2 linked regions of the Diceros bicornis minor genome follow. The protein of the gene in region 1 interacts with the protein of each later gene in a pairwise test. Links are inferred from orthologs where the notes say so. Each region holds a gene or a part of one and is shown in the gene's direction. Other genes may lie near its edges.

Region 1 (15,148 bases):
CACCCGCGGGCTCCTGCATCCTGAGCGCTGCTCACGGACCCCGCCCCCAGAGCCCTGGCCGCAGCCCCTTCACCGGAACACCAGGCCCAGGCCCAGTGCGCCCACTCCCGCAGGTGCCCCAGAAATGGGCTTCTTGAGACCCCCGCCCCAGCTAGGAAATTAGAAGGGAACTTCCTGGAGCACCCGTCTCCCTTCTGGTTCCGAACAGAACGCACACGTTGAAGTGGGCACGACACTGCCACTTCTAAGTTGGCTTTTCCTCTTTACGAAAGCTCGAATACCAGAAAACCAAAATATTCCGTTTGGAGATAATATAAAGTTCAGACTAACATTTTATTAAATATGTATTGCTTTGCTGCAATAGGTGTATCTTCATAAAACTAAGTAACTCTTTTGTACTAAAAATTACCGCAGACCCAGCCCTCCCTTGGCAGCACCCAAAACTTCAAGCTGAAGCTGAGGGTGGCTCCTGGCTGGCCCCTCTGATGGCCTTCATCTGCTGAGCACCCTGCGGGCACACAAATCTGGGCCTTCTCCGCTCCCAACTCCCTGGGGTTCAGTGCAGCCTTGGGCAATCCAGGCCAGCCGGGTCCATCAGCCCTGCTTAGGATGACCAGGTTTAGAGTGCTTAAGGCCCCAGGTTTCAGGGCTCCAAGCGAGGGCCCCTCCAGCAGCCACATATGTCAGAGCTGGGGACTGGCACTGCCCTCCCCTGGCCAACTGTGCCACCAGGAATCGGGAAGACACCTGTCCACACCTTGACCACTGGGCATGTCCCCTCCTGAAACAGATGGACCCTGGGGGGCTGTGGCCAGCCCTGCGCTGTGTCCCAACAGGCTTGTTGGCTGATGTTGGCTGTCTCAGTGGCACTTGATCTTCAGCTCAATACCCACGCTCGGCCAAGAGTCTGAGGCTTGGCCTTTCCCTGAACCCATGGGGGCAGCAGCAGATGTAAGTGCACGCCCCTCCAGGAGCGGGTGGCTCCCAGAAACACACAGGAAGGGAGCTGCAGCTGAGAGCAGCCAGCCCTTCCCCCAGCCCCTGAGGGGAAGCCCAGGATCTCCCTGGGCAGAGAGCAACCCCTTGGCTGGCTGCAGCCACTGGGAAGCTCTAGGCAGTGCTCTCACCCTGGAGCAGTACCCCAGGTCTCCCCCTGCACCTGCAAGCTCTGCCTGAGTGCTCAGAGCAGCCTCTGGGGCGGGGGGCGCGAACACCACAGGGCCAGCAGCAGGCTTGGGGACAGAAGCAGGAAGAAAGGCTTCGGCCAAGTCTTAGAGGAATCTAGATCTAAAAGTAACTGAGAAGCAGGTGTGCTCCGTAAAAATAAGGCAATTGGCTCACGTTAGACACACTGGGACCTCCCAGAAGACAGCTCAGGAGGCCCAGAATGCTCTGGATATGGGCCCAAGGCTGTGTTCTCTGTGCCCAGCACAGCCCCACCCAGAGAAACGGGAGCGAAGGAAGCAGAGGCACTCAAGACCTTCCTTGCTGCCAGTGCCAGGACCTCAGCTGGAACTTCCTTTCCAAACAGGAGCCCTTGCACTTCCACAGCCTCAGAGCAGAGGCAAGTTGCCCGCTGGGAGAAGAACTCTGGGCCTGGGAGCCTGGCTGCTCCCCAAGGCAGTTGTGGGGACCCTGGCACGGCTGGCCTGGACCAAGGCTGCTCCCTTGCCAGGGCCTGGCCAGCTCAGCGCACAGCGCACACATCCAGGATGCAGAAACGCGCACGGCAGGTGGGGCAGGGCACGCGGCTGGCCAGCCAGGTGTCAGGGTGCTGCGGGTCCTGGCGGCTGGCGAACCACTTGCCCATGCAGGTAAGACACCACATGGGGCGGCAGTAGCACTGCTGGCACTCGCCCTCAGCTGCCTCCTGGCACGTCTTCACCAGCTTCACACTGGCACGAGTCTGCATGCAGCCAATGCAGGCCTCCAGCTCCTGCAGGTGGGCCGAGGGGATCACGGGGAGCCTGGCCAGACGACCCCATGGGGCCCCCCACCACCCCAGGGACCTGGCCCATAGGAGCTGGGCTATGGGACCCCGCCCACCCCTGCCCAGCCCCTCACCTGGCTGCTGGGAACCGAGTAGGCCGGGTTGACCGCCACCAGAGAGGCAAACGTCTCCAGGAACAGGTCACCCAGGCTCTGGCGGATGACCACGTTGGCCGCGCTGCGGATGGGCGCCTGGAGCTTCTCACACAGCTCGCCGTACTCCGTGGAGTTCAGCCTGCAGGGAGGCGGGGCTGCTGGGCTGGGGCCGCTGGACTGAGGCCCCTCGGCAGGGCAGGACCATCATTTCCCGGCAACCTGACACAGATCCTGGGGCAGGTGGCAGGGAGGCCAAGGCTGTGCCCCGAGGGTGACCAGGGCACCACAATCACACAGAACATGGGGACTCAGGCACAGCCCAGCTGTCCAATGAAAACCAGCCAACAGAGATGGCCCTGAGGCCAGAGCCCACGGACCCAGCACTGCCCACCTGACCCCACTGGCTGCAGAGAGAGACAAAAGGCAGGCCAACTGCAGCTGAAACACAGCAAGGCTGGTCCTCAGCAGACCCAAAACGTGTCTCAAGAGCTCAGCTGGAATGGGACACAAGACCTCAGCTAGAACCCAGACCTCAGAGCTGAGGCAGCCACCAAGCGTCTATCCTGTACAGCCACCAAGTGTCCCCAACATGCTCCCCAAAGAAGCTGAAAAGGCAGATTCAGAGAAGAGCTTGGAGAAAGAGAGAGGAAAGGGTACTTGTGGGGCGCAAGGGGGGCAAGGGATGAGGGGGCCAGGGAGGGGCCTGGGGGGTGCAGTGGGGGCTCTGAGGGGGAGGCACTGGAGGGATGGCTGCAGGGGCTGCTCCACACATCATCGCCTCCCGGGGGGCACAAAGACTGGAACCTGGGCACTGGCTGGCTCACCCCCACCTGACCTCGGGCATGCCTACCGGATGTCGAAGGCCCGCACGGCAGGGCTGGCGCTGGCCACGTGGATGGTGAGGAGCTGCACCGGCAAGTTGGAGTCCGGCGAGAGCTCGTGCTGCTGCGACTGCGTCACTGTCAGATGCACGTCCTGCTGCTGGGCCACATACACGCAGTACGTGGTCACCTTCATCACCCACGTGTCCGTCACGATCACACGGGCTCCCGGTGCCCCCGTGGCAAACTTGTCGATCCGCCGGAACTCGGTGTTGACAGAGGAAGCAACGGCCCGCCAGTCCGACTGCGGAAGGGCGTAGAGGGCCAGGGTACGGGCCAGTGGGTGGCGGGCCCACCGGTCCCGGGACCAGTAATAGATCAGGGAGCAGGTGACAGTCAGCAGGGTGACCACCAGCAGGAGGAAGAGCTGCCAGGCCTCTGGGGCCCGGCTCGGGGAGTAGAGCTGCTTTTCTGAGGCTGCGAAGCACATGCCTACGTAGTAGCCTGCAAGCAACAGAGTGAGTCTCAGCAAAGGTCGGGACTGCCAGGCCACTGTCCTCCCCCAGTGAGGGCCACAGTGCTGTCCCTGTACCTCCTAGGGAAGTTCCTCTCGTCCCCAACCCTGGGCCTGGCCCTCTGCCCTGGTCAGCTCCCAGGGCGAGACCAGGGTACCCAGAGCAGGTGGACCTCACCTGCCTCCACACTGGCCCAAATCAGCCTTGACCCGGACAGTGACCCCATAAAAAAGGGAAAAACGTTTTTAATTTGCTACTTTAATTTTACACAACATAAGAATACTGAAAAAAACTAGAAAAACAACAAATGCAATGATCTGGTGTCACCAGATGCACAGCTGCCCTCCACAGAGTGGGATCTTGGCCTCTTGACCCCACCCCTCTGAGTGTGACCCATCCCAGGGCTGGGACATCGTGTGCCAAACGATGGGGGCTGTCAGCAAGAACACAGGAGCCAGCTCCGGGCCCCTGCTGGCCAGATTGAGGCCACTTTGCACTCAAAATGAATAACGCAGATAGTGATGGGGTGCAGTGGCAGCTATGAAATCACAAAAATAATGACATAAGTTTGCTATTGCCGAAATCACTACATTTTAAGATAATTTATCATGTAGCGACAAATATGATTCAAAGTTTCCCAAAAAAGGCATTTCAAAAGAAGTTGGAAAACAAAACAAGACCCTGTGTCCAGCCACAAGGCCAGGCTCCACCTCCTCCTCTGGGTGTGGCCTCCTGGAGTCACTCTGCTCCCTAAGTCCTGATGTCCCTGCCCGTCCTCGGATGGTGGCCCAGCCCCCCACGGGCTCCAGGAAGCTGGAGGGCTCCTGAGCTTCCAGGGCAGAAGCCAACCCGCCACCCTCAGGGGAGCCCAGGCCCCAGGCCGCATGCTCCTCACCTGGGCACGGGGCTAATGGGCTGCCCTGCTCACAGGGAGCTGGGTGCTCTGTGGAGGCGGCCAGGCAGTTACCGCAACACCACGCAGAGCAACCACCCGGCCCATAAGACATGGGCCACCAGCTCACCACGCCAGCTCCCTCCCCATCCCGGCGTGGGCTCCACTCGGCGCGCCGTCCACGCAGGCAGGCAGCCCCCATGCACCGGCCGGCCTCAGCCCAGGCCCCTCCTGCCGCTCCCCATACTGGCCAGGCTGCTGCGCGCCTGCCAGGTGGACACTCCTCCGTGTCCACAGAGCTGCAGGCAGGGCCACCGCCCCTGCCCTCCCAGACCTGCTTCCGCCTGCGTGTTCTCCGGACCCCCGCCTGCTCCCCCACTCTCCAGCCAGTCCCCCGTCCACCCAGCTGACACTCCGACCCCCAGAGCCCAGCTAGGCCCCAAGTCACTGCCCAGCACGACCCCTGGGCAACTTCGGAGCGGGCCGGCCACACACATGCCTTCCCCGGCCTCCGCACCTGTAACAACCCCGCCTGGCGTCGCTACCTCTGCCTGCCCTTCCCACGCCCACCGTCCAAGGCCTGGGGCAGGGCCACCTTGTCCCCCAGACCCCCGCCCTCAGACCCTTCTCCGGGGCACTGCCCCCCACCCCATGTGACCGCTCGCGCCTGCCCCAGCGGGCGAGCATCCCCCCGGGGTCCGAGCCTGCTCTTCTGCTCCCTGCGAGCGGCCGGGCGGGCGGACGCAGCCTCGCTCTCGGGGCTGGCCGCTTCTCCCCGAGCGCCCTCCCCGACTCTCCGAGACAGGTGACCCTGCGGCCCGGCAGCCTCTGGAGCCCGCAGCGCGGCCGCCTCCGCCCCCCGAGCGGGCCCCGCCGGCGCACCGAGCGGCAGCAGCGAGTGGCACAGCAGCGTGGCAGCCGTGCGGCGCAGGTGGTAGGGCACGAAGGCGGCGTCCTCGCTGCCCAGCCAGCCCGACAGCAGGTTCTGCACCGTGAGCCCGGCCGAGTGGAACTCGGTGGGCGTGAACACGAAGCACACGGCGAAGACCAGGTAGGCCAGCGTGAACGTGACCTCCGGGCTGTCCATCGCGCCGCCGCCGGGAACCGTCGGCGAGACCCGCCGCCCCCGGCGCGGGGAACAGGCCCGAGCTTCCCGGTCCGGTGGGCGCGGGGCACCCTGGGAGAGGGGGCCCACGGAGCCGTTTGGTAGATAGAGTCCTCGCCTGCGGGGCACTCTGGAAAATCGGAGTTCCCGTGGAGCACTCTGGGAAACGACGTCTTCGCCCGCGGGGCACTCTGGGAAATGGGATTTCCCGTGGAGCACGCTGGGAGACGAGGTCTTCGCCCGCGGGGCACTCTGGGAATGGGAGTTCCCCCGCCCGCGGAGCACTCTGGGAGATGGAGTCCCACCGTCAAGCCGGCGCAGTACGCTGTGAGAGATCGAGCCCCGTGGGGCACTACGGAACATGGAGTTCCCGCTTCCCGCACATGACCCGAAGTCGTGAGCTGCCGCGACAATCCTCGCGAAGGTTCGGCTCCTCCTCACGACCCGGCCTGGGGGCGGCGCTACACCTGGTCCTATTTTACAGCTGGGCATACTGAAGCCCGGGCGAGCGGCTCTCAGGCTCCGGCCTTTCCGCCCAGTCTACCGTCCGTAGCAGAGCACGAGATCCCCAAGCGACAGCAGGCCCCGCAGTCATCGTCTGCCTGCGAGCACCCCTGACCCTCCACTCGTCGGCAACGCGCGGCTCCCGAGGACTTCCGGCGCGCACTGCGCCCAGCGTGCTCCCCGCCCCGGAAGCGGTACCGCCGGCGCGCGGGGGCGTGGCCTTAGGCGCGGCCTCCCATTGGCCGGCGGCGTCCCGTGCGTCGCGCCCCAGCCGCGCGTTGATTGGCCGCGCGCGCCAACCGTCGGGATTTGAATCGGCGGCGGGCGGGCGGGCTCCTGGACTCGGCGCCTCTCGCTCTCTCGGCTCCGCACCGCGGCCGGCAGGTAAGGCGGCGGCGGCGGCGGCGGCGGCGGCGGCGGGCGGGTCCCGGCCCGGGGCTCCATCCCAGCCTCCTCCGCACCCTCCGGCCCGGCCCCGGCCTCTGTCCGCCGCGGAGCTGCCGACACCCGCCCTCCCGGCGGCGGGTCCACCCTCGGCGTGTCCCCGCGGCGCCCCTGCCCTCCCGCCGCCTCTTCAAGGACGCTTTCTCGCCGGTCCCTCTCAGCGGGCCCATCCCGCCGGCCCGCCGTAGCCCGGAGCGGAGCCGGGTGACCTCTGCCCCGCCGTCCGAGACGCCCGGCGGGCTCCTGCCTTCTTGGCTCTTCCGCCTCCCCTCTGTCGCCCTCCGCGAGGGTCATCCTCCAGGAGGTCCGTGTGTCGGGGTCCCTCAGGGCCTGGCCCGCGGCCACCCCTCACCTCGGTGACCCTGTCCAGCCTCACATACCACCCGTAGCTGTGGTTTGCAAATGCACGTCTCCAGCACCGAACGCGCGCCCGGCTCGCTGCCCGCCCCCCTGCCCGGGTGTCGGAGACGGGACTCCGGACCCCTAGCCCTTCCGGCTCTGCGCGGCCACGCCCCCCTCCAACGGGGCAGCTTCTGCTGCTTCCTCCAGCCCCAGCTGTGAGCCGTCACCCACTGCCGCGCCCCTGCGCCGCAGACCTGGGCGCGAGCCCTCCCCGCCCGCTGCTGCCCTACCGCAGTCCGCGCACGCAGGGCGGCCTCTGCTCCGGAGCCCCCGCCCGTGGTCCCGTGGTCAGTAGAAGCCAAACCGACTGAGACCGCCATCACTGTTTTCCCACCTTCCCCAGGCCAGGGACGGCCAGAAAGCTGTCCTCGAGGCCCCCTTCCGTGTTTCACCCAGTTGTTCAGGCGGAAGACCTAGCTGTCACCTTGGACTCCTGAGTCTTTCCCGCTTCCACACACCGAAGGGGGGCCCGCTGGCCAAGCCAGGGCTGACCCAGCCCAGGCCTGCTGCAGGAGCCTCTGACGCCACTTCCCGGCCTCCTCTCACACCCTCCAAGGTGCCGACCTCACACCCCTCCAGGCCCCCTTTGCACCTTTCTGCCTCAGACACCTCAGCCTTGTTCGAGCTGCAGCCCCCAGGGCCCCCACCACCAGCAGGTACCCATGGTGCGGCCTTGCGCAGGTCCATACCCAGTTCTCTGATGACTCTTAGATTGGGAATGTCATGTTGGCGACCATGATGAGAACTGTAGGAAGGAATGGGGCTGTTCCAGAACCTTCTGGGCCTGACTGGAGGCTCCTGGTGTATTTCCAGACTCCAGGCCCCGATGTAGAAGCTCCCCACTTAGTTCTGCACCTCACTGCGTATTTCCTTTGCCAGCTCCTCCTCTGGGCCTTGGCGGTCCTGCTGCCCTCACCTTGTCTCTATTTCCCAGCCACGTGGGGAAGAGTGAGCCACCGCACCTTTCCGCTTTTCTTTTCTTTGCCAGCGTGGCCACCTGCTCCAGCTCTGACACAGCCTTGGCGCCTCGAGTGGAGGCCTGTGGGAGACCTAGGCTTCCTCTGCCTCTTCTGGTGTTCTCCAAGGCCACCTTTTACTTGTCTCTTGACTTTTACCCATGAAGTTCGAGTTGTTGGGAGCACCTGGGTTTTCCTCTTTGCCCCAAAGGCTGAAGGCCCTTCTAGCCCTTAGGCCTGGGAGGTGGTGGCTCCCCTGCAGCAGGACAGGGAGCACCTGGCAGAGGACACACTGCCTGAGGTGTGACCAGCTGCGCAGGAAGGGGCCATCCTCCCGGCCGAGCTGCAGAGTCAGCTCCATCTTTTTCACGTTGGTGCATCCAGGCGCCGCAGTGTCGCTGCCTTCATGCTGACACACGCTGTTTGCTTTTTCAGAATGAGTCTGCAGATCTTCAATGACGAAAATGTCACTGGTGACAAAAGTACAGAGAACTGCAACTTCCTGTTTTCACCACCAGAACTTACCGGAAGATCATCTGTTCTTCGTCTGTCACAGAAGGAAAATGTGCCACCCAAAAGCATAGCCAAAGCCGTGAAGGTGAGCGCGTTGTGCCTATGTGAGATCACCGTGTGTCATGTTAGGTCACCTTGGAACCTGCTTTCCTGGTGACTTAAATGAGCTGCCAGGGCAGGGTGCTCCTCGCATAGTGGTTGAAGACGAACTTGGTGAACAGGTGCTGTCTCCCTCCCAACAGGTGACTTTTCAGACACCTCTGCGGGATCCACAGACGCACAGAGTTCTAAGTCCTGTTGTGAGCAGCAAACCGGAGGCTTGCTTTGCTCTGGGTGACGCCGGAGGGTTAAGAAACCTTCCTCAAGTCTGGACGCAGAAAGAGAAGTAAGTGTGGGTGCTGCTTGTGTACTGCAGTTTGTAGCATCTCTCGTAGACTCGGCAGGAAAATTCTGCTCATCTGGTTGAGTTTCTCTTGGTCTCGCTCTGAGCTTGTGTGGTGCATGGTCCAGAGTATTTGGCATCGGAAGTCGTTACTGGAAAAGTGGATAATGGAACACTTATAATAAGTTTAAATTTCATATTCCATTCCTTCGTTGTACCCTTGCCAACAAGTTGGCCTCATTTTTTGTTTCTCTAGCTTCACGAAATGTCCTGCTCACATCTCTAAGGAAGGGCACTTTGTGGTTTTATGTCTCTTTTTGTGTTCCACTGGGGTCTCTCTTCTGCTTGCAAGTTGAGCTGTGTTCTTTTAAAGGCAGAGGAGATGTCTGTTGTGTAATCTGGTCAGAGTGCGAGTGGCCTCAGGGACCAGGTTTTAAACACCTGGCTTTAACTGGGAGAAGCTTCTTTGCAGCCTCACCTGGAGTTAGGTGTTTGGCTTGGTCTACTAAGTGAGTGCCACGGCCTTTCCTGCCTCTGTCTGGAAAGGAGAACCCTAGTGGCAGCTCTTCACCCCCAGATTAGGCTGAACTAACCCAACTGAGGCCCCCAGGGACCCTCTGCATCCAGAGTGGGAAGGGTCCTCACTGGCACATTTTCATTTTGACTTTTGCTGACTTAAGCTGTTTAAAACTTGCATTTTCTTCTAAACAGGTTTCAGATGTACAGAGCAAGGTATAAAAGCAAAGTATCGCTAACATATCCTTCACCTAACTTAAGTAAAATGTTCTTGGGGCCACGGTTCTGTTTCCTCGTGGAAGCTCCTCGAGCCTGAATCTGTTCCCCTCCCCAGGTGTCCTTGCTACTTGTCAGCTTCAGTTTTATACTTTTTGAAATTCAGCTGAGTGAGATTAGAGGGACTTAAATACTGTTCCTTTATAACAGCCTCAGGAAGGGAGGGAAACCCGGCCTCTTGGCCGCAGGATCTGACCTGCTTCGAGGGCCAGGGTGGTTCCTGCCTCTGCCCTGTTTCTGCAGAGCCACAGAGCAGAAGTCAGGGAGCAGGCCAGGAGGACCCAGGGAGGGTGGCCCTAGGAGCTGGGACCCTGCTTTCTGAAGGCAGTGTTCTCGACCTGCCTTTCTCTCTTCAGTGAAGGGCTTGACCCTCGTGTGCCTGACTGTCCCTGACTATGTAGCTGGTGGTCCCCAACCAAAAGGGGAAAGTAGGGTAGCACAGAAAACCTTAACTTTGGTCATGTATCTGTCAGGTTTCTGCTCACTCTCAGAAACCCGTGTGTCCCTAGGTTGCTCACCAGCATTGATTTATGGGACTATACTTGTGACAGTTAATCCTGAGGAGATGGTTGACTAAACATTCTTTTTTTCTGTTTTTAGCTAATGTTTTCATGTGGGCTAAAATGTAAAAAACAAAATGGGTTGCTTAGTATTAACTAAGTCTGTTTCTAAAAAGCCAACAGTTCACCAAGGAAGTGGACACCAAAACGACCGATGGAATTCTCCAGAAACCAGCAGTGCTGGATGCCAACCCCCCTCCAGGGGACGTGAGACCAGCCTCTGAAGACAGGAGTTCCAGCGGGCCCACCTCAGCTCCCCCAGCCAGCCTGAACCCGTCAAGCTCTCCCCAGATGCTGGAAAGTCTTGAAAACCAGGTGGCATCTCCAGGACGAATGTCTGGCAGCCCTGAGCAAACCTTGGAGGCAAACGTTCATTTTTATTCCTTAGAGAAAAGCATTACATCCACTTCTGAAATTCTAGAAGACCTTCTCGGGATGGTGTCCCAAGACAGAACAGAGGACCCTCACACAGCGGCAGGAGGAAGCTTGCAGGGGATCCCTGCTTCCTCGGCCGGGGCTGCTTCGCCTCCTAGTCCTCCACCCGAAGGAGCACATGGAGAAGGGCCCCTTGCAGACCTGCCTGGCAAGGCCCTTGCAGACCCTGAGGATGCTTCTGGTCCTGAGAATGCCGCCCTGGCTAGCCCTCTGAAGGCTGGAGAGGCCACGTCCCCAAGTCCTCAGAAGGAAGAGGCCGATGGTCAAAAGGCTGACTCTTGCAGGAATGGGCCCATAAAGCTAGAATTTGACTTCTCTGATGAGGCTGCCCCCAAAAGGCCGCCCCCACCAAGGAAACTGGGGAAGAGACCTGGCCTTAAACCTCCCTCGAGGAGACCGGAGGTGAGGCAGAAGACCCCCAAGGAGGCAGATGAGGGTCCTGTTCTCCCTCTCTGGGGGTCTTACAACCTGGATTGGGACAAGCTGGACGACCCAAACTTCAACCCGTTTGGAGGTGGAAGGGAGGCTCGGCCCCCAGAACACCCCCAGGACGGTCCCGGGGCCTCACAGCTGAGCACTGCGCCTCCGGGCTTGGAGGACTCACCTCTGAACCAGTGAGTATGGGGTGGCAATGTCAGGAAAGCTGCTCTGTGGTATGTGTGCTGGTGGACCTGTGACCAGAAATGCCGCCTACGTGCCCCTGAGAAGGGGCCTCAGGGCACACACGGGCCCGTCCCGAGACAGAGGAAGGGTGCTCACAGCAGCCTTGCCTATTGTGAAATAGCTGGAAAGAGAGTGTCCCTGCGCCCTGTTACGTCCTCTCCCCCACCCCCGCTTTTTTTTTTTTTTTTTTTTGGTGAGGAAGATTAGCCCTGAACTAACATCTGTTGCCAATCCTCCTCTTGTTGCTGAGGAAGACTGGCCCTGGGCTAACATCCATGCCCATCTTCCTCTACTTTATATGAGATGCTGCCACAACATGGCTTGACCAGTGGTACGTAGGTCGCGCCCGGGATCCGAACCTGCAAACCCCAGGCCACCGAAGTGAAGCGTATGAACTTAACCACCATGCCACCAGGCCGGCCCCTTGTGCTTTTTAAGAATACTACGTGTAATGAGTTTAGAATTTCAAGAAAGATATCTAGAGAAGAAAAAACACCCATTATCCCAAAGATGATGAAGGGCCGTTAGCACTGGCTGTGGCTCTTAAAGGCTCTTTCTTGTCTCCTGGTGTGAGTGCCTTCTCACGTGCTCACTGCTCTCTGGCGACAGCTTCTTGGTGGCCGCCAAGTGTTCGGTTCTAAGAGAAGCTTGGCCAGCAGCTGGCCAGCTCACAGGCTCGCAGCTTCTCTGAAGAGACCCTGACTCCCTGGCAGGCTGCCGTCCCTGCCCTGGAACTGCCCAGTGAGAGGGTCCCCATCCGGCTCCCTGCCCTCCCAGCTGCTTTTGCCAGTTTCCCGGTAGAAAGGATGAATGAATCCTTGTGGTTTGCTTTGTTATTGAGTTGAAACTGCCTCAGAGCTCCTTGTCTGCTTCCAAGCCCTCCTTCTAGGCTCACGATTCTCGCGCAGGAGAGGTTGGTGGGGACGGCTTTGCCGGGTCACCCAGCTTAGCCCCTGTGCCTGGCTTCCTAGGTGCGGGTCCACAGTGCAGGTGGCAGCTCAGGGGGTTGGTGGGACAACATGGGCACAGGCCCTGCTGACCCTTCTCTTCAGGCAGGTGCCTTCAGCCTCAGCAGATGACACACCTGTGGTGCAGACCCTGGCCGGGACCTCAGGAGCAGCCGGCGAGGTACAGAACGCATGCGTGTGCGTGACCGAGTGGAAGCGTGTCCCAGCACTGTCGCCACCATTTGTGTATTGTGACCACAGAGGGAAGCCAGTGGTGACCGGGTGGGACACACTGCTGCCCCTCAGGCCCTGCCCCCCACACCCCCTCATCTTGACAAGACTGGGTGAAGCAAAGGCCCCATCCAGGACCCTCGACTGCACGGGATGCCCAAACAGCCACCCGAGGTGACACTGACCTTCCTTCCAGGAGGGAACCATGAATTCTTTGGGCACATCGGCTCCCACCAGCAGTCTAGGCAGTGAGCCGACAGCCTCACCCGCTGACCCAGCGCCCCACCCCCGGCAGGGGCCAGAGCCAGCCTCAGACCCGAGTGACGAGCACTTCCGAGACCCAGCTGAGGGTACGTTGTCCCTTGGTCATCACTCATCTGTTCCTGCTGTCGATTTGCCTGAAACATGTCCTGTGAGCCTGTGAGTTCATGGCATTTGCAGGTGATCGTTCTACAGGCTACTGTGTTCCCAGATTGGAAGTTATTCACGCAGAAACTTCTGGTTTGTCAAAAGATGGGCATTTTCAGGAGAACAGGACTGATACCTCTATAACATAAGGGGTTTCCAGAAATGGAAGTTGTAGACTCACTTAGAAAAATAGGCAAAAAGTATGAATGAGGCTCCGCACAGATGCAGACACAGCAACACGCTGGGCCTCGCCCGTCGGAGAGATCCTGCTGGAGTGAGAGCCCGCGGTGGTGAGACGAGCCGCTCAGGCCCCTGCTGGGGAATGAGGCTCGGGGCTCCTGTGGGCAGGAGGGCAAGTCACTGATGTAAGGTGAGAACTTGTGACTGAATTGCTTTGAAAGCTATAAGACAACATGATGGGATCTCAGTTGTGGTTACGTACAATCCAACAGGCACGGGGAAGACAAGATGGATCGTGGGGTTTGCCTATGGTAGGATAACCACGAGGTCCTCACCGTACAGGTGGGACCACAGCAGTGGTTGAGGTCTACTAGGGCAGGCCTGCCACCCCCAGGGCCCCTGGAGTCACATGTGTGGGTTTGTGTCTGGTCTTCCACTGAGTGTTTCCGAGCTTCGTCCGTGGGTAGCGCGTGTCAGTCTTCATTCCTTTGTCTGGCTGAACAGTGCTCCACAGCGTGGACAGACCGCGGCTTGTTGGTTCATTCCCCAGTTGAGAGACATTTGAGCTGGTTCCACTTTTCAGCTGCCATGAATAAGGCTGTTATGAACATTCCTGTTCACTTTTTTGTGTGGATGTGTTTTCCATTTCTTTTGGGTGGATATACCTAGGAGTGGAATTCCTGGGTCATATGGTAACTCTGTGTTTAACTTTTGGGGGAACTGCCAGGTTGTTTTCCAAAGTGGCTGCACCATTTGGCAGTCACTTTACAGCAATGTGTGAGGGTTGGGATCTCCCCACGCCCTCGCCAGCACTTGTCCTGACTTTCTGATTCCAGCCATCTGGGTGGGTGTGAAGTGCCATCTCGTTCTGATTTGCGTTTCCCTGACGACTGATGATAAGCATCCTTTCGTGTGCTTGTCAGCCTTTCACATGTCATCTTTGGAGAAATGTCTGCTCATATCCTTCACCCTTTTTTAACTGTCTTGTTACTAGAAGCGTTTCTTGTACAGCTGAGATAAGAACCCTTTATTTTCTCTCACTCTGTGGGTTGTCTTTTCACTTTCTCAGTGGTGTCCTTGGAAGCACAAATGTTAACTTGGAAGCCCAATTTATCTATTCTTTTTGTGTGTGTGTGAGGAAGATCAGCCCTGAGCTAACATCTGATGCCAATCTTCCTTTTTTTTTTTTCTTTTTTGCTGAGGAAGACTGGCCCTGGGCTAACATCCGTGCCCATCTTCCTCTACTTTATATGGGACGCCGCCACAACATGGCCTGACAAGCAGTGCATCGGTGCGCACCCAGGATGCGAACCGGGGCCACCAGCAGTGGAGCACGCACACTTAACCACAATGCCACGGGGCCAGCCCTATCTATTCTTTTGTTTTGTTGCTTGTACTTCTGGTGTCAAATCTAAGAAATCATTACCAAATCCAATGTCGTGAAGACTTACCCTTCAGTTTTCCTCCAAGAGTTTTAGAGTTGCTGCTCTTACCTTTAGGTCTTTGGGCCATTTTGAGGTCACGTTTATAGATGGCATGAGGCACCCTGAAGTTTTTTAAGCAAAGGTTACATTATCAGAAATTAAAGGCCTTTTCTAGGGTAAACACTGGTTCTCAACCAGGGCAGTTTGGCCCCTAGGGGACACTTTTGGTTGTCATGCCTTAGGGGGTGCTGCTCACAGAACAAGCAGCCCCAAGTGTCACTAGCATGAGGCCAGAAACCCCGCTTCAGAGCAAAGGCCCCTCAGCCCCAGGTCCAGGATAGACGGTGGAGCGGGAGGGACACAGCTCAGTGTTTCCACAGCCTGAGTACAGGGGGCAGCTCCCTCCAAGGTGGGGAAACTGCTAAGCTGGCATCTATTTCATTAAAGACCCATAATCTACCGTGTGTGGGGTAGCGACAGCAGCACTGACACGTGCTCCCTCTCAGTTCTAGGCACGGGGGCCGAGGTGGATTATCTGGAGCAGTTTGGGACTTCCTTGGTAAGTAACCCCCACCTTCACAGCAGTCTTTTCTGAAGTGTGTTTCTCAAAAAGGGGCTTTTTCTAGAATAGCCCCATGCCACTGTCACACCTCAGCAATTGCAGCACTTCTGCAGGTAGAACATGAGCAGTGTCCACATCTGCCAGGCTGTGAGGGCCCGGTGCTGTGATGGTGGTCTAGGACTCGGTAGGGCCCCTTTTCCTGCAGCTTCCGTCCTAAGCCCCATCCTGCGGTCCCAGCAGGTCCTATCCCAGCCACTCACCCAGAGGCAGACTCAAGAGCATGCTGCTCTGCTGCTGGGGCCGTTCATGCCTCGGGAGGCATCTCAC
Region 2 (15,002 bases), on another chromosome or scaffold:
GAAAAGAGTACAAGGACTTGGGTGTGCGGAATTTATCACTTCTGAGGATTCCGCTTTGTCAACAAATGAATAATCCTGGAGACCTCAAGGACTTCAGTGGAAATAGGCATGCAAGAGCTGTGAGACAGAGGGAGCCCATCTCCCTGAATTAGTGAGGCTCTAGCTGGAGCCATTCAACTACTCTATTGTTCTATCGTTTGGCTGTTATTTAGCTTTCATAGAACTGGTGTATTTTAGAGACCCACACATTAGTTGTTGGTTTACACGATATGAAATAAAATGAGGGAATCTATGATTTCATTTTATTTATTGGAATTTGCACCTGATTCTTATTGTTTTAAATTAGCTATTACAAATACATTTGAGCAAAATGTTCTTAGTAACCTCATGCCCTCGTGTATTAGTCAGGGTTCTCAAGGGAAACAGAACCAGTTAAGATAGATAGATAACTATATCTATATCTATATCTATATCTATATCTATATCTATATCTACATCTACATCTACATCTACATCTATATCTATATCTGGAGAGAGAAAGAGAGAGATTGATTAATTTTAAGGAATTGGCTTATGCAATTGTGGGGGTTTGAAAGTCCATAGGGCAGTCCTGCAGGCTGGACATTTCAGCAGGAGTTGATTTTGCAGTCTCGAGTCTGAAAGCGGTCTGGAGGCAGAATTCCTTCCTCTTTTGGGAACCTCAGTCTTTTCTCTTAAGGCCTTCAACTGATTGGATGAGGCCCACCCACATTATGGAGGGCACTCTGCTTTACTCAAAGTCTACTGATTTAAATGTTAATCACATTTTAAAAATACCTTCATAGCAACATCTAAACTGGTGTTTGACCATACAATTGGGCACCATGGCCTAGCCAAGTTGACACATAAAATTAACCATCGTACCTCTCCTCTTGACCATCATCACCTCCCACCAAGGATGACATCTTACCTTCCAGTTCCTGCCTTTCCACTTCCAAGTAATTTATGACTCCCCTCTTCCCCCACCATGCTAATCCATCTTTCCACTTTATCTCTATATCTGCACTGTCCCATACATAGCCACTAGATACACATGTCCTCTAAAATTTAAATTTTAATTAAAATTAAATGAAATAAAAAATTCAATTCCTCAGTAGCACTAGCCACATTCAATTGCTCAATAGCCACATGTGGCTTGCAGCTACCATATTGAACAGCGCAGAATAGAACATTTCCATCATTGCTGAAAGTCTATTGGCCAGAGCTGCTCTAGATGGTTCTTCATTGTAACTTTGCCTTCACTATCTAGGCTTCTCTTCTCAGACATTGACTCCTTTTTTAAAAATTTATTTTTTTATTGAGGTAACAATGGTTTATAACATTATATAAATTTCAGGTGTAGATCATTCTATTTTGACTTCTTTATAGACTACATTGTGATCACCACCAAAAGTCTAGTTTCCATTCATCACCATACAACTGTGCCCTTTTACTCCTTTCACTCTCCCCCCACCACCCTTCCCATCTGGTAACTACCCATCTATTCTCTGTGTCTATGTGTTTGTTTGTTTTTGTTGTTTTTTTAATCTTCCACATATGAGTGAAATCATATGGTATTTGTCTTTCTCCATCTGACTTATTTCATTTAGCATAATATCCTCAAGGTCCACCCATGTTGCAAATGGTAAGATTTCATCTTTTTTTTTGACTTAGTAGTATTCCATTGTCAGACATCAACTCTTAATCTCAGAGTTCCAGGTTTTCAGTCTCCTTCGCCATCTGGATAGTCACATAAATCCATTGAAAATGTTGTAGAAAGTTGTTTTGGTGCATTTGTGTAATTGTTGCATGGAATGTTTGTGTATTAGTCAGGATAAGTATGCCAGCTGCTGAAACAAACAACCTCAAAATATCAGTGGCTCAATATATTGAAGGTTTAGTTCTTGCCCAAGACACAGTTCTGTGCTCTATGCTTTGCAATCATCCACTCTTCTTCCAGGGCCTCAGAGTTCTCCATTGGATCCTCTGCATCTAGCTGGCCAACTAATGAAAAATAAGGAAGAGAGTGCAGGATGTTTGGAGGCCAGGCCTGGAAGTGGCTATATCACTTCTGCTCATACTTCATTGCCAGACTGGGTCATATAGACCCATCTAACCACTAGAAAGGATGAGAAACGTAGTCTTACTGAGTGCTAAGGAGGAAAATTAACAGAATGGTGAACACATAGTGTTATATCACAGCAGGTAAAAAATGCATTCTATGTCAATGAATATTATTCCTCAAATAATGAACCATGTATATGTGTAAACCCTTCTGGGTCACAAAATATATATTTTACACATCTCATACAAGGAAAATAAAAAATATCAGTAGCTGTCAAATGATGAGTTTCAAGGCCATATAGAATGGAGGATAAGAAAGGATAGACTTTGGATTTGGAAAAGATCTGTTTGAATTCTAGCTCTACCACTAGCTGGTCAAGAACATACTGGCAGCATGATCTTAGGCCAGGTGCCCTCAAAGGACTGTTATTGGGTTTAAATAAGGCAATAAATGCTTATACTGGTGTAAATGCTCAATGGGTGGAGGGGTTCCACATACATATTCATGTGGCATCACAGCCTTTCTCCCTACTTTCTACTTTTGAGTCATCTCTACTTAAAAGTGAATTTTCTAATAGCATAGGATGCAATGTCAAATATTTCTGAATAGTGATTGCAAAATGAAATACTTTCCATGTTCATGTCTGTTACAGGTTGAATTGTGTACCCCCTAAATTCGTATGTTGAAGTCCTAATTCCCAGCACTCCAGAATGTGACCTTATTTGGAAATAGGGTCATTGTGATATAATTAATTAAGATAAGGTCATACTAGAGGAAGGTGGGCCCCTAATCCAATATAACTAGTTTCCTTATAAAAGGGGAAATTTGGAGACACACATGCACACAGGGAGAATGCCATGTGAAAATGACTTCAGAGATCGGGGTGATGCACCTCAAGCCAAGGAATGCCAAAGATTGCTGGCAAACTTCCAGAAGCTAAGCGAGAGGCACGGAGCAGAGTCTTCCTCAGAAGGAACCAACCCTGCCCACACCTTGATCTCAGACTTCTGGCCTCCAGAACTGTGACACAATAAATTTTTGTTGTTTAAGCCATCCAGTTTGTGGTACTTTATTATGGCAGCCCTAGCAAACTACATAATATAATATCCAAGCAGTTATTGACTCAAATATACAGGATTTAATTTTAAAATTGTGTGGTGTTTACATTTTAAAATGTAAAATTCTAATTTCAACATATTTCCAAAACCAATCTTCCATTCATTGATCCAACTGTTTCTGAGCTACAAAAACGGCAATTTCATATGGTTCACCCAAAGAGCCATATGTCTACTGAGATGAAACACTGGCTTTCTTTACTCTTTGCCTAATGGGGCCATTAGGGACCCATCTTTGGAACTAGACTCATTAACATTACACAGATAATCAGCTGTGACCCGGGCCAAGTCCCTTACCTGCCCTGAACCTTTTTCTCCTCTAAAAAAACAAGGGGGTGAAGCTAGATTCCCTCTAACTCGCAGCTAAGACATTCTGTAGCTTATAAGAAGACTTGTCCATCTAGGCAGACTTCATGGCCTGTGGTCCAGGAAGTACAATCAGAGCTGTTTACAGAAATCAGCTCTGCTAATATAAAGGGATTTAAGAACAATATTAAAAGGGAGTGCTCCAGCAAATTAAATATTCAAAGTGAAAAACTCTGCATTTAATAAAAGTCTGTCACCATTTAGAATGCATAATTTTAGCATAAATACTCTAGAAATATTCATTTAGTTTGCTATGTGTTATTGTTAATAAAGAGGGTCCTGCATTTGGATTTGTCATATGTCATTAATAAATCAACCATAGAATGCAAATTTTAATTATTTTGAATTATCTATTTACTGTTTAATTATATTTAATTTTAGACTCTCCTAAAATGGCCTAATAAAAATTTGGGATGCTAAACGATGCCTCACCTGGTTACTCTATGTATTTACTGAAAATAATTAGTTACATTAATTGTTTGGGGGATTTTTTTCCCTTAGAAAACTAATCTGGGTGAGGGGAGACCTAAATAAAATATGCTAAAAAGATGCATTTTTTTTTTTTTTTGCCAGGGTTGTAGTACAATGTTGTTTGCACTAAAATCACTAAAGTAAACCTTTGTACACTATGTGGAAATTAATAAACATAAACCTGACTAAAATGGAGTCAGGTGGCCAAAAGGGGGAGCTCTGACACCCTATGAAGATAGCAGAGCCCAATAGGAAGAAGAAAGACTTCCTCTTCTTGCCAGCAACAGCTCAGCCAATGATAGACTACCACAACTCAGCCAATGAAAAGCCACTACACTTTAAACTCCCAGTCTCCTCCTCTTTGGAGGACTCTTTGTTTACATTAGCCCTCCCAACTTCCTCTTCCCCTCTATAAGAGTTTCTCCTCCCTTTTCTGCAGGACTTGCAGGTGGCTTGACATGGTTGTAGACCTTAGATTGCAATTCTTTGCTGATCCCAAATAAACCTCTTTGTGCTGGAGAAATAACTGGCTGTTTAAGGTCCACAACTACCATGGAATCAATTTGGTATAATGATTTGATATAACTAAATAAAAGTAACATCAGGATTACCCTTAGACCTAGGCAAGAGGGCCCCTACCCTGGCTTCTGTATATTACAAAGCCTGTTCTGGCCCTTTTCTGGCCATGCCATTCTATGCAAGGCAAGGAGGCCCAGGGCCAGGGGACATGCCTGCCTAGAGTGCGCTCTCTCTCTCTCTCTCTCTCTCACACACACACACACACACACACACACACACACACACACCCCATTCTGCAACACATTCCAGGTACCTATCACCCTGACAATCCCTGCTCAAAGGGCCCTAACCTCCTTTCTGAGGCCCTTAAAGACCTCTTTCCTGGACCCTTCCTGCAAGGGTGACTATCACTTCCTGCAAGGTGCTCGCCCTTAGGCCTGAGGAGTGGCCAAGAGGAGGCTGAGGTGAGGATGAGGACAGAGCTAGGACTTGTAGACTGGGGTGGCGGCGTAGGGGAGACACACACATCCCTGCCAGTGTGTGCAGCCCCTCACAGTGCAAGACTGGGCCCGGGGCGGGAAATAAAGGAGTTGGCTGGGGAAGGAGTCAGAGAACTAAATTTCCCTCTGGCTTTCCAGGTTCTTATGAAGGCACATTGGCCAAGGTAGGAGGAGAGAACATATTTTATCTACAAATTGTCATCTTGATTTATAATTGTTTAATATTTTGACAGATGGTATGAGGGCGTCCATTCACACTCTTGCCCTGGCCCTGGCAAATGTGAAGGGAAGGCTAAGTAACATTATAATTTTATATTATCGACCTTTGAGTAGTCCATCTCTCTTGCTAATGATTGATTTACTAGTTTAAGTCACACCTTGCAAGTAAGTGAAATTAATGACTGAGAAAAGAAACCAAAAGAAATGAAGAATAAGAGACTAAAGAAACTATAATTTCTTTTTTTCTGCCCTGCAGGTTTTGGAGTATGGTTGGCTTTCTTCAGGAAGCTTTTCCCCCAAGTTGGTGATGATGTTGATAAAAACTGATGCTTCCTATGTGCTGGGCCCTCTTCTAAACACTTACACACGTTAACAGATCTAATCTTTATAGCAATGGCATAGCTAGGCCCTGCAGTAACAATCTTCCTGGTTTTACAAATAAAGAACCCTGGGCTTCAGGAGGGTGACCTGCACTTGGTCACACAGTTGGGCAGTGGAAGAGGGGATTTGAGTCTAGGCAGCCTGGCTCAAGTCCCTGCTACAGGATTCTATATCTGCACAAACAAATGTCTGCTTTGCAAGCAACTTGTTAGCAACTTTCCTCTCCTCACCAACTAGTAATGTGACCTACAGCATTAACCACATCCTTATGGTCAGCACGGATTTACAGGTAAGGGATTGTTCTGCTGTCAGGGCTGAACACAGTTGCTTACAATTTTGTCCTTTTTTGTGGTGTTTTCTTTTGCTTTTAAGTGCTGGTAGGAAACCAAGCTTAGCACAGTGCGTGGCACTCAGCATATCCTGGGGAGAAGAGAGGGAGAGGTGGCGGGAGGGAAAGAGAATGCATCTTGCAAAATTAATGTAGTTTCATGCCAGGACAAAAAATGATCACGTGACTTGCTCCCAGCCACGCTCCATCCTTTACCCATGGTGGGGATCAGGAGTGGTCTTCTGACTGACCCTCAGAGAACGGCTCCGCCTGGAGGAGGACCAGGGTCTGTCCCGTGAGAGTTCTGAACGGTTAGGGAGAAGGAAGACGCCAGTCTCCGGCAGAGAGCCCTGGGCACCCAACCCCCAAGGACCCCTGCCCATCCCGCAGCGTGCAGCCTGGGCCGGCTCCCCCCAAGGCGGCCGTCAACCTCTCCCACGACACCCCGCCTCCGCCCCGCCCCTCCACGGGCCCCGCCCCTCCACGGCCGTCTACCCCGCCCATTCACGGCGCCCCGCCCCGCCCCCTGCACAGCGTCGGGGCGCCATGTTCACCCGCGGTGCATGGTGGGGCCGTCGCCCCCGACAACCCGCCCCTCCCCTCCGCGCGCTGGCCCGAAGCGGCGCGGGGCGAGCGTGGCGGCGGCGGCATGCCCCAGGCACCCGCACGGTCCGCGCCCCTGGCGAGCCCCGACTACTATGAGAGGCTGGGCCGCCTCCAGCGCGGGCTGCGGGACAGGTACGGCCTACCCGAGGCGGGGGCGGGAATCGGCCGGCGCCGAGGGTCGGCTGGTGCCCTGCCCTCTGTCCTTCCCACTCGCCCCGCCCGTGGGTCCCCTGGGCCTGGGTCCGCCCGCGACGGCCCCCAAGCTCCCACTGGGGCCTGGAGGACAGAGTTTACCGGAGAGACCCCCGCGTTGGAGATCTCCCGCTGGAGGACGCGGCCGCGTCACTGAATTTGCCCGGAAGTGGGAGTAGGAGTTCTCCTGCCTGTCACTCTCAGTCAAGCCTCGTGAATTTCTCTAGTTCCTTTCTACACGCCCCCTCCGCAGTCTCTTCAAATTGTCATCCCACCCTGACAGCTGCACTGCATCAGTGGTGACAGGTCCAGGAACGCAGGCAGGAGAGTGTGTGTGTGTTTGTCAAACATATGCCCTATTTAAATGCGGGAGACTTTTTGAGGGCCATAGTTCCAACGAAGGGATGAAATTTGCAGACAGAGAAGTCCAGCTTCTGGAGTATTCATGATACCTTGATTAAGACGTGGAAGATGAGAACCGCTGAAGACAGCTAGATCTAAGAGCACATAAAGAAAGAAAATTATAAAGCACTTTGCTATAAATAACCACATAAAAGATAAGTTGTTGGAACTATTATTTAGCTGCTAAATTAATTGGTGTTGGAAATCTCATTAGTTGACAAGAAAGGAAATAGATGTTTGGATCTCTTGATAAACAAAAGGTTTAATGAGTGTTAAAGTTGCAAAATCATTTTAGTGAAGAGAGCTGTGTGTGTGTAACAATGCTAAAATGACAACAATAGTTACGTGTAAGGTAAAGGCAGAAGTAAGTGGTTTTGAAAAGGAATTATATTGGTTTTATGCTACATTTAATTTTTGTCAAATATTTATGGAGCGTCTACAACAGTCCTCCTGAATTGTCCTCACCGTATTTTACTCTTTAATCTTTTTCTACATCCTATTTTCTTTCTGACATACCGCCGCTCACCCACCCCAGGAACCTCCTCAACTCCAGCTTTTGAAAAATTGCTTCCTTCAGTGCCTTCCCTGCACCAAGTATTGATCAGCCTGTTCCCTAACTTATGCAACCTCGGCATTCTTAAAGGACTCTAGATAGTGGCTTGAGTGACTTGCTCCCTGCCTAGATGGAGAATTCTAGGAGCTCAGAAACCATATCTAGCTGAAGCTTTAGCTGATAATAGAGTACCTTAGGTGGAGGAGGGACTTGATATATGTTTGTTCAAGGAATGGAAGAAATCCCACGTCAACCAGCTAACGTCCAAGAGGTGTAAATGTCTTGTATAGAACACTAGCCACACATTGCCACTAAATAATGACCATGTTCCAGTCAACCAGGAAGAGTGGACAGTGTGATATTTCAAAGATGATATTGTGTCTGCGTATACTTGATAATTAAAAGACAAGACATTGCTCTGTGCATCAGTACACTTAAAGTGCTTTTTTTTTAAAGAAAAAAACCCAGTTTCTTTAATGTTGTTTGTTATGTTGTGTTTAAAATGAAACCATTGGGGCCAGCCCCATGGCTTAGCGGTTAAGTGCGTGCCCTCTGCTACTGGCGGCCCGGGTTCGGATTCCGGGGGGGGGGTGCACCGACACACCACTTCTCTGGCTGTGCTGAGGCCACGTCCCACATACAGCAACTAGAAGGATGCGCAGCTATGACATACAACTATCTACTGGGGCTTTGGGGAGAAAAAAAAAAGGAGGAGGATTGGCAATAGATGTTAGCTCAGAGCCAGTCTTCCTCAGCAAAAAGAGGAGGATTAGCATAGATGTTAGCTCAGGGCTGATCTTCCTCACACACACACAAAAAAGCCATTATATAAGATTAAATACATTAAAAGAAATCACCAAGGGGAAGAACAATAAGAGTAATAAAATAATTTTGTGTGTGTGTGTGTGTGAAGATCAGCCCTGAGCTAACATCTGCCAATCCTCCTCTTTTTGCTGAGGAAGACTGGCCCTGGGCTAACATCCGTGCCCATCTTCCTCCACTTTATATGGGACGCCGCCACAGCATGGCTTGACAAGCAGTGCGTCGGTGCGCGTCCGGGATCCGAACCCATGAACCCCGGGCCGCCGCAGCGGGGCGCGCACATTTAACTGCTTGCGCCACCAGGCCGGCCCCTAAAATAAATTTTAAAATTTCAATTCTGCTCCAAGGTTCCTTAACCATTTTGAAAAACTAAAGTTTGGTTTATAGATTCAAACCAATTTAAGCTATTGTCCCATCCCCAAAGTGAAATCTTATACTGAAGTCCAGCTCCAAGTTAAAAAGCAAACAAACAAATAATAAAACAAATTCACCTCTGGGTGTGGGTGTAATTTTTTTTCTTTACATTTTACTAATTTATTTTTATTGAGGTCACGTTGGTTTGTAACATTATATAAATTTCAGGTGTACATCATTATATTTCGACTTCTGTATAGAGTCCATCGTGTTCACCACCCAAAGTCTAGTTTCCATCCGTCACTGTACACATGTCCTGCTTTACCCCTTTCACCCTCCCCACACTCGTCTTCCGCTCTGGTAACCACCAATCTGTTCTCTGTACTGTGTGTGTTCGTTTTTTGAGTTTTTTTTTTTTTTTTTTTTAACTGCTTTTTGACTCTGTTCTGTTAGAATAGTAGCTTAGTTACCCCAGGCCTTTAGTTATTTGTATCTCTTAGCCCAAGTTCTAAATTTTAAAATGTCGCTGGTTCAAATGGCATTCTTTTTGAACTAAGTTAATTGTAAGTTATCATTTTTGCTTCCTGTGCTAGGAACACCTGGCTGTTTATAGTCCTTATGGTATAATAACTGTGTAATGATTATTACTTAATGTTTAACACTTAATGCTTTAACTATTAAGCAAGGTGAGGCTGTTGAAATTATATAAGGAATTTGAGTCAAATTTTATAGCCTATTCATGGTTCTGCCTTTGGAGGTTGGTTTTATTTTTAAGTCAGTACAGATCTGTTGCTGTGTGTACTCATTTTTCATTTTAAAAGTCCATAACTAACTCTAATGCATAGTTGATAAGTACAGAGGCGAATAATTTTGGATACACAGAAAAGTGCAGTAGAAACATGGAAACCTGGGTTCCAGTCTGTGAACTGTTGTGTGACCTTGAGCAGGTCGTTCAGCCTCTCTGAACCTTGGTTCTTCACAGAAATGAGAGGCCTTGACTAATATGTAAAGTAAGGCCACAGATTTTTTTTTCTCTAGTAAATAAAGAGCCTCAAAGTAAAAAAGTTGAAAGCTGTAGTTTTGTGAAGCAACAAATAATGAATATCATTGTCTGTATCCTATTTGAGTGTTTGAATGTACCTGTTTTTCTTAACCAATCCCGCTGACCACAAGGACCATTGTCTCCTAAAGCTCCAGAAATTTACAGGCTACGACCTTGGGTAGTCACAGCTGCTTTATCAGTCCACAGATTTCCTGGGAGTGAGAGAGAAAAACAACCTGCCCTTTCTCAGCCCTGTTAGAGGTGGGTGATTGCAATGTTAGCTGGTCTAATAACTGGGCTTTTCCCTTGTACTTGGTGTGTTTCTAGCCCAGATTGTCTTAGCTGTAGTCACACATAGATATAATTTTATATTCTGAATTTTTTCCTTTTTGTATCAGTGTTTTCTTTGCATTGTGGGAAGGTCGTTGAATCTACAAGAGCCTGATGGAATGACTCTGTACAGTGCATATAGTGCCACAAGTGTGGTAGAAACATGTAAGTGGAGTTGACACTTACAATTATATAAAAACATCTGTTTAAAAGGCCCATTAACCAGCCCCAGTGTTTTCAATAGCAATATTGATTCAGGGTGAGATATCGTAAAGGTCCAGAAATTGATGCTGAGGTATTAGTTGAGTAAAGCTGAAGATGATATTGATACAAAAACTGAATAACAGGTGGCTTAAAAGGAGGAAACTAAACCACATGCTACACTTTAAGGACCACCCAGCTGTGTAAAACTTCGAAAGGTCCAAGTGAGGGGTGCAGGTGCCTGAAACCATTGGCAGTGGGTACATATCCCTGGGCTGGATGTTCCAAAGATTCTGAAACAGAGATTTAATCTGTAGGAATTGCAAGATGATCCTCCCAATAATCCTTTCTCTGGCTTTTTATTGGGGTAGATATCTTGTTTTAAGTCTTAAATTTAAAACATATGAAAGACAGCACTCACAGGCACTGCTGCATGGATGATGAGGTTAGAAAATGGGCCTGTGATGAAGAGTGAATGAGATTAGCATCATTTTGCCTGGAATAGAAGGCCAAGAGGTGTTTGTGGTTTTTCAGTGTAGGAAGTGTCATGCTAGAGAAGAAGTTTGACCAGTCTGTCCCTACTGGAGATAGAGCAAGAACAAAGAAGTTTTATGTTCTTTATTAAAAAGAACTTGCTGCTTGTGAGGTGGTGGATTCCCAAAGAGACTGTAGTCCTTCTTCACTAGAAGTCAGAGGTAAATTGTTACAATTATTTTGAAATGAGTTCAAGCTTACAGAAAAGTTGCAAGTAGAGGACAAAGACCTCTAATATTTCCCTCACCCAGATTCCTCAACTCTTAACATTTTGTTATATTTTCTCTTTCTCTTTCTATCTAAAATTATTAATCTTTTCTGAACCATTTGAGAACTGCAGATATGATGCCCCATCACTCCTAAGCACTCCAGTGTATAGTTCCAAAAAGCAAGGATGCTCTCTCTGTGATCACCATATAACTCTCCCAGTCAGGAAATCAATGCTGATATACCAATCCACAGACCCCAGTCAAATTTCACCAACTGTCCCAGCACTGTCTTTTTTATCGTCTGGTCCAGGAGTCCACCTGTGAACCCATTTGCCATGTCTCTTCAGTCTCTCCCCATCTGTACCTATTCCTCAGTCTTTCCCTGCCTTTCATGTTCCTGACAGTTTCATAGAGTACAGCTTTCATTCTGGAGAGTGAGCCTCAAGCTGGGTCCATCTGATGTTTCTTCATGACCAGATTCCAGTCATGCTTTCTTGGCAGAAATTCCACAGAAGTAAAGCATGACATCAGAGGCACAAGGTCATAGATGCCTTTAAGGGTCTGTCTCATAATTTAGGGACGAATTGCTCACTCTATCCGGACATTCATTTTTCATGAACTAAGTATCCTATTGATCACTGAACCTTAGAAGGGAGGAAAGTGACAAATAAAAATTTCTAACATGGAAGCAATTATACCGTGTTTCTTTCACTTCTGAGTTCAGTCTTCTTAATGAGAAAATAAAGATCTGTGTGGAGCTATTAGATTAAAAATTTGTGTTTCTGTAATTTTTTTTCTTTTAATTATTTTTCCTTTTTTTTTTTTAACGTAGGCATACCCCAACTGAGGAAGAGATTATTCCCCAAGCAAAGATTCAGTGTTTGGATTTTGGACCCCATTTTCCCATTAAAAGAATTTTGGTTAAATGATGGTTTCCATTCTAGATTATGCTAAGCAAAGAAATTTACTTAACCTATAATTTAGCTAACAGAGTAACTTTTGGGCTTTTTTTTTTTCTCTGAAGGAAAACAGAAACTAATAATTAAGAGCTCACAAATGGAATGTGGGCTCAGCCCCTGTCCCTCAGGGGGCCAAGCTAGGCTCACCTTCTGTTGGACTCCTTGTCGTTGATTCAGTCTTTTCTTTAGCATTTTTCTCTCAGACATTATGTGATTTCTCTTTCGGCCTTTAGTTATTGTTAACTTAGATTCGCAGTTTGGCTTCAGTTAGATGGGATTGAAGCTGGTACTTTGGTGGTGGTTGAGCGGGGCCCTCTGTGGTTAAACTTCCCAAGGACTCTTTTTGGGACTGAGATGGCTTCTCATTTAGCAGTTTTACCCCTAGCCCCTTGGTTTTGGCTGCTACCACCCCTACTGCCCAGTTTCCCCTACCTCTTGCCCAGGCTGGGTGTGCAGGGTAAGCTCTGTCCTCTAGCTGACTGCCAGCACTCACCTGATCATCACAGGATAGCAGTCAGTGACAAATCACGGCGATGTTACAAAGTTGTAAAAAGAAATCCCCCCAAATTTGAAGTAATAGTGTTAGGGGGCCTAGTCTTCATTAAATGTGAGTGAGGGCAGGTCTACTTTTCAGAGACCTCTTCCTAACTCAGTTACTTGGCTCTGCCCAGGCTTGTCTAGTTGGGAACAGAGCAAGCCACCAGTCTTCAATCTAGGGTGGATTTGTGGAGGCATTGTGTCCAGACCTGGTGGGATCCCCATCGTTCAACTGTCACCATCTCAGAGAAGTCTGGCCATATCATATTTTACATATTTATCTTGTTTATTGTCTCTCCTTCCCCCTAGAATGTCAGCTGCCTGAGGGCAGGGGCTTTGGTTGGTGTACACCGGATTAGTCTCCAGACCTAGAACAGTCCCTGGCTCATCATGGCACTCAAGAAATACTTGCTGAGTGATTGAACCTGCTTCCCAGCCTTTTCTTACTGCATTTCCCCATTTACTTTGAGAATCTTGTTTTTGCTTCATTTCAGTGTCCTTTTTGCTTTTTAGACTTCCGTGATGACTGCTAAGTATTTTTGTCTTGAGTTTCAAACGCAGCTGGCATTTTCTGCTTCTTAGAGAGGCCAGAGAAGCATTCTTACAAAGGTGTGATTTCAAAGGAGATCATGTTCTAAATCCAGCAGCCTATTACTTATCAGTGTAATTATTCATAAAACATTTTCTTTCTGTATTATAGTGAAAAGAAGAGATTGGACCTGGAAAAGAAACTTTATGAATATAATCAATCTGATATATGCAGGTAAGAAAGGACAGCGGTAACAGTTTTTAAACCAATTTGCATATGTTAGTCAATAAAAATTTAACCCTAATATATGTTACAAATACCATAGTTACAGTACTTTTACCATTCTCTTATTTCTAATGTGTAGTAGTTTCACCTAAACATTGCAATTTAATATAATCACTGTCAAATGTAAGAATAAATTTGGTTAAAATTAGTATATGATAAAAATTATCTTATTTTCATCATTCAGTATTTGTGTTATCTCAGGAATCTATTTTACTTAAATGTCTTAAGAATAAGATGGATTATAGGCCGGCCCAGTGGCGTAGTGGTTGAGTTTCCGTGCTCCGCTGCAGCAGCCCGGGGTTTGCTGGTTCAGATCCTGGGTGCAGACCTACCTACGCATGGCTCATTAAGCCGTGCTGAGGCAGCGTCCCACATAGAAGAACTAGAAGGACCTACAACTAGGATATACAACTATGTACTGGGGCTTTGGGGATAAAAATTAATTAATTACTTAATTAAATTTAAAGAAGAAAATTTGAAAAAAAAAAAAAAGACGCCTTATAGTCTTTCTTTCTTTTTGGCCACAATTTAAACACCTTGAGCCTGTGTATTGATTAAGGCATAATTGCTAGCTGGCCTTTCAATAAACTGTTGTAGGCAGGGTTACATGGTGTCTCACTTATTCATGGATATATGATAATGACAGTTAAAATTACTATGAGCAGTGGATAATATACATGTTATCCTTTTTATGTTACTTAATCTAGTATTAAGAGCAAAATGTTAATATTTTTAATTCTATTTTATAGAAACTGAACTTCATCCTTAAGCCAGATATATGGTGTTACCTCCAATATTGTTCATATGAAAAATTTCTGGCTATTATAGCATTTAATCTGTGATTTATTTACATCATAATATGAGTGAGAAATGAAAACATCTCATCCAGAAGAGAGAGAAGCCAAGAATATTTTAAAACCAAATCATCTATCTATTCCATTTATTTCCTCATCTTCAAGCTTATTCTTTGGTTTTAAGATTTAGTGTACTTCCAAAGGTACCAATCAGGTAGCCAAATGTGTCTAGTAGCTCTAGAGGAGACAAGAAGAGCCAGTGAGATGGTGGAAGAAGTAGCAGTGTTGTAGATGCCATGGCCTCAGAAGTGGGCCCCAGTCTGAAGGAGTCCAGGGCAGCTGCCATTTTTCTAGCCTCTGGCTAAAGGAGCAGAAGACAGGGTATAGACTTTTCCTGCACCCTATTCTTGGGTGGCTTCCTGGTGTAATGGTGGTGGGAGAGGTGAGGTGAGAGAAGAATGGGAACCTTTACCAAGCCATCATTTTGCTGAGTTTGTTCCCCTCGCTCAGCCTCTTGTTGCTTCCTGGAAGAGAGAAGGTATGATTTGCCAAAAATATGCTGTCTTTGACTGCCCGAAGGATAAAATCTAAACTGTCTAACATGGCTGTTTCAATCTGGTTCCCCACGGAAGGCAGAGTGTGAGAGGAGGGTTTGCGTGTAGGTGGTAATT

What was found.
Region 2: the proteins of TACC3 (region 1) and KIZ interact in binary tests that used the Homo sapiens proteins (3 or more experiments, as listed by UniProt). The two-hybrid records come from large-scale screens. The link is inferred for Diceros bicornis minor from reciprocal best matches to the Homo sapiens genes TACC3 and KIZ.

Annotation. Positions count from the first base shown.
Region 1 is NC_080747.1:1,099,544-1,114,691, forward strand, and holds the start of TACC3 (transforming acidic coiled-coil-containing protein 3), read left to right. Parts: upstream 1-7,222; 5' UTR 7,223-7,324; intron 7,325-8,159; 5' UTR 8,160-8,160; coding exon 8,161-8,322; intron 8,323-8,479; coding exon 8,480-8,622; intron 8,623-10,087; coding exon 10,088-11,020; intron 11,021-12,121; coding exon 12,122-12,197; intron 12,198-12,443; coding exon 12,444-12,597; intron 12,598-14,765; coding exon 14,766-14,818; intron 14,819-15,148. Other genes in the region: TMEM129 (E3 ubiquitin-protein ligase TM129), read right to left, coding at 1,688-1,936, 2,065-2,224, 2,936-3,410, 5,196-5,910. UniProt on the Homo sapiens protein: Plays a role in the microtubule-dependent coupling of the nucleus and the centrosome. Involved in the processes that regulate centrosome-mediated interkinetic nuclear migration (INM) of neural progenitors.
Region 2 is NC_080758.1:47,601,609-47,616,610, forward strand, and holds the start of KIZ (centrosomal protein kizuna), read left to right. Parts: upstream 1-6,616; 5' UTR 6,617-6,631; coding exon 6,632-6,720; intron 6,721-13,423; coding exon 13,424-13,486; intron 13,487-15,002. UniProt on the Homo sapiens protein: Centrosomal protein required for establishing a robust mitotic centrosome architecture that can endure the forces that converge on the centrosomes during spindle formation. Required for stabilizing the expanded pericentriolar material around the centriole.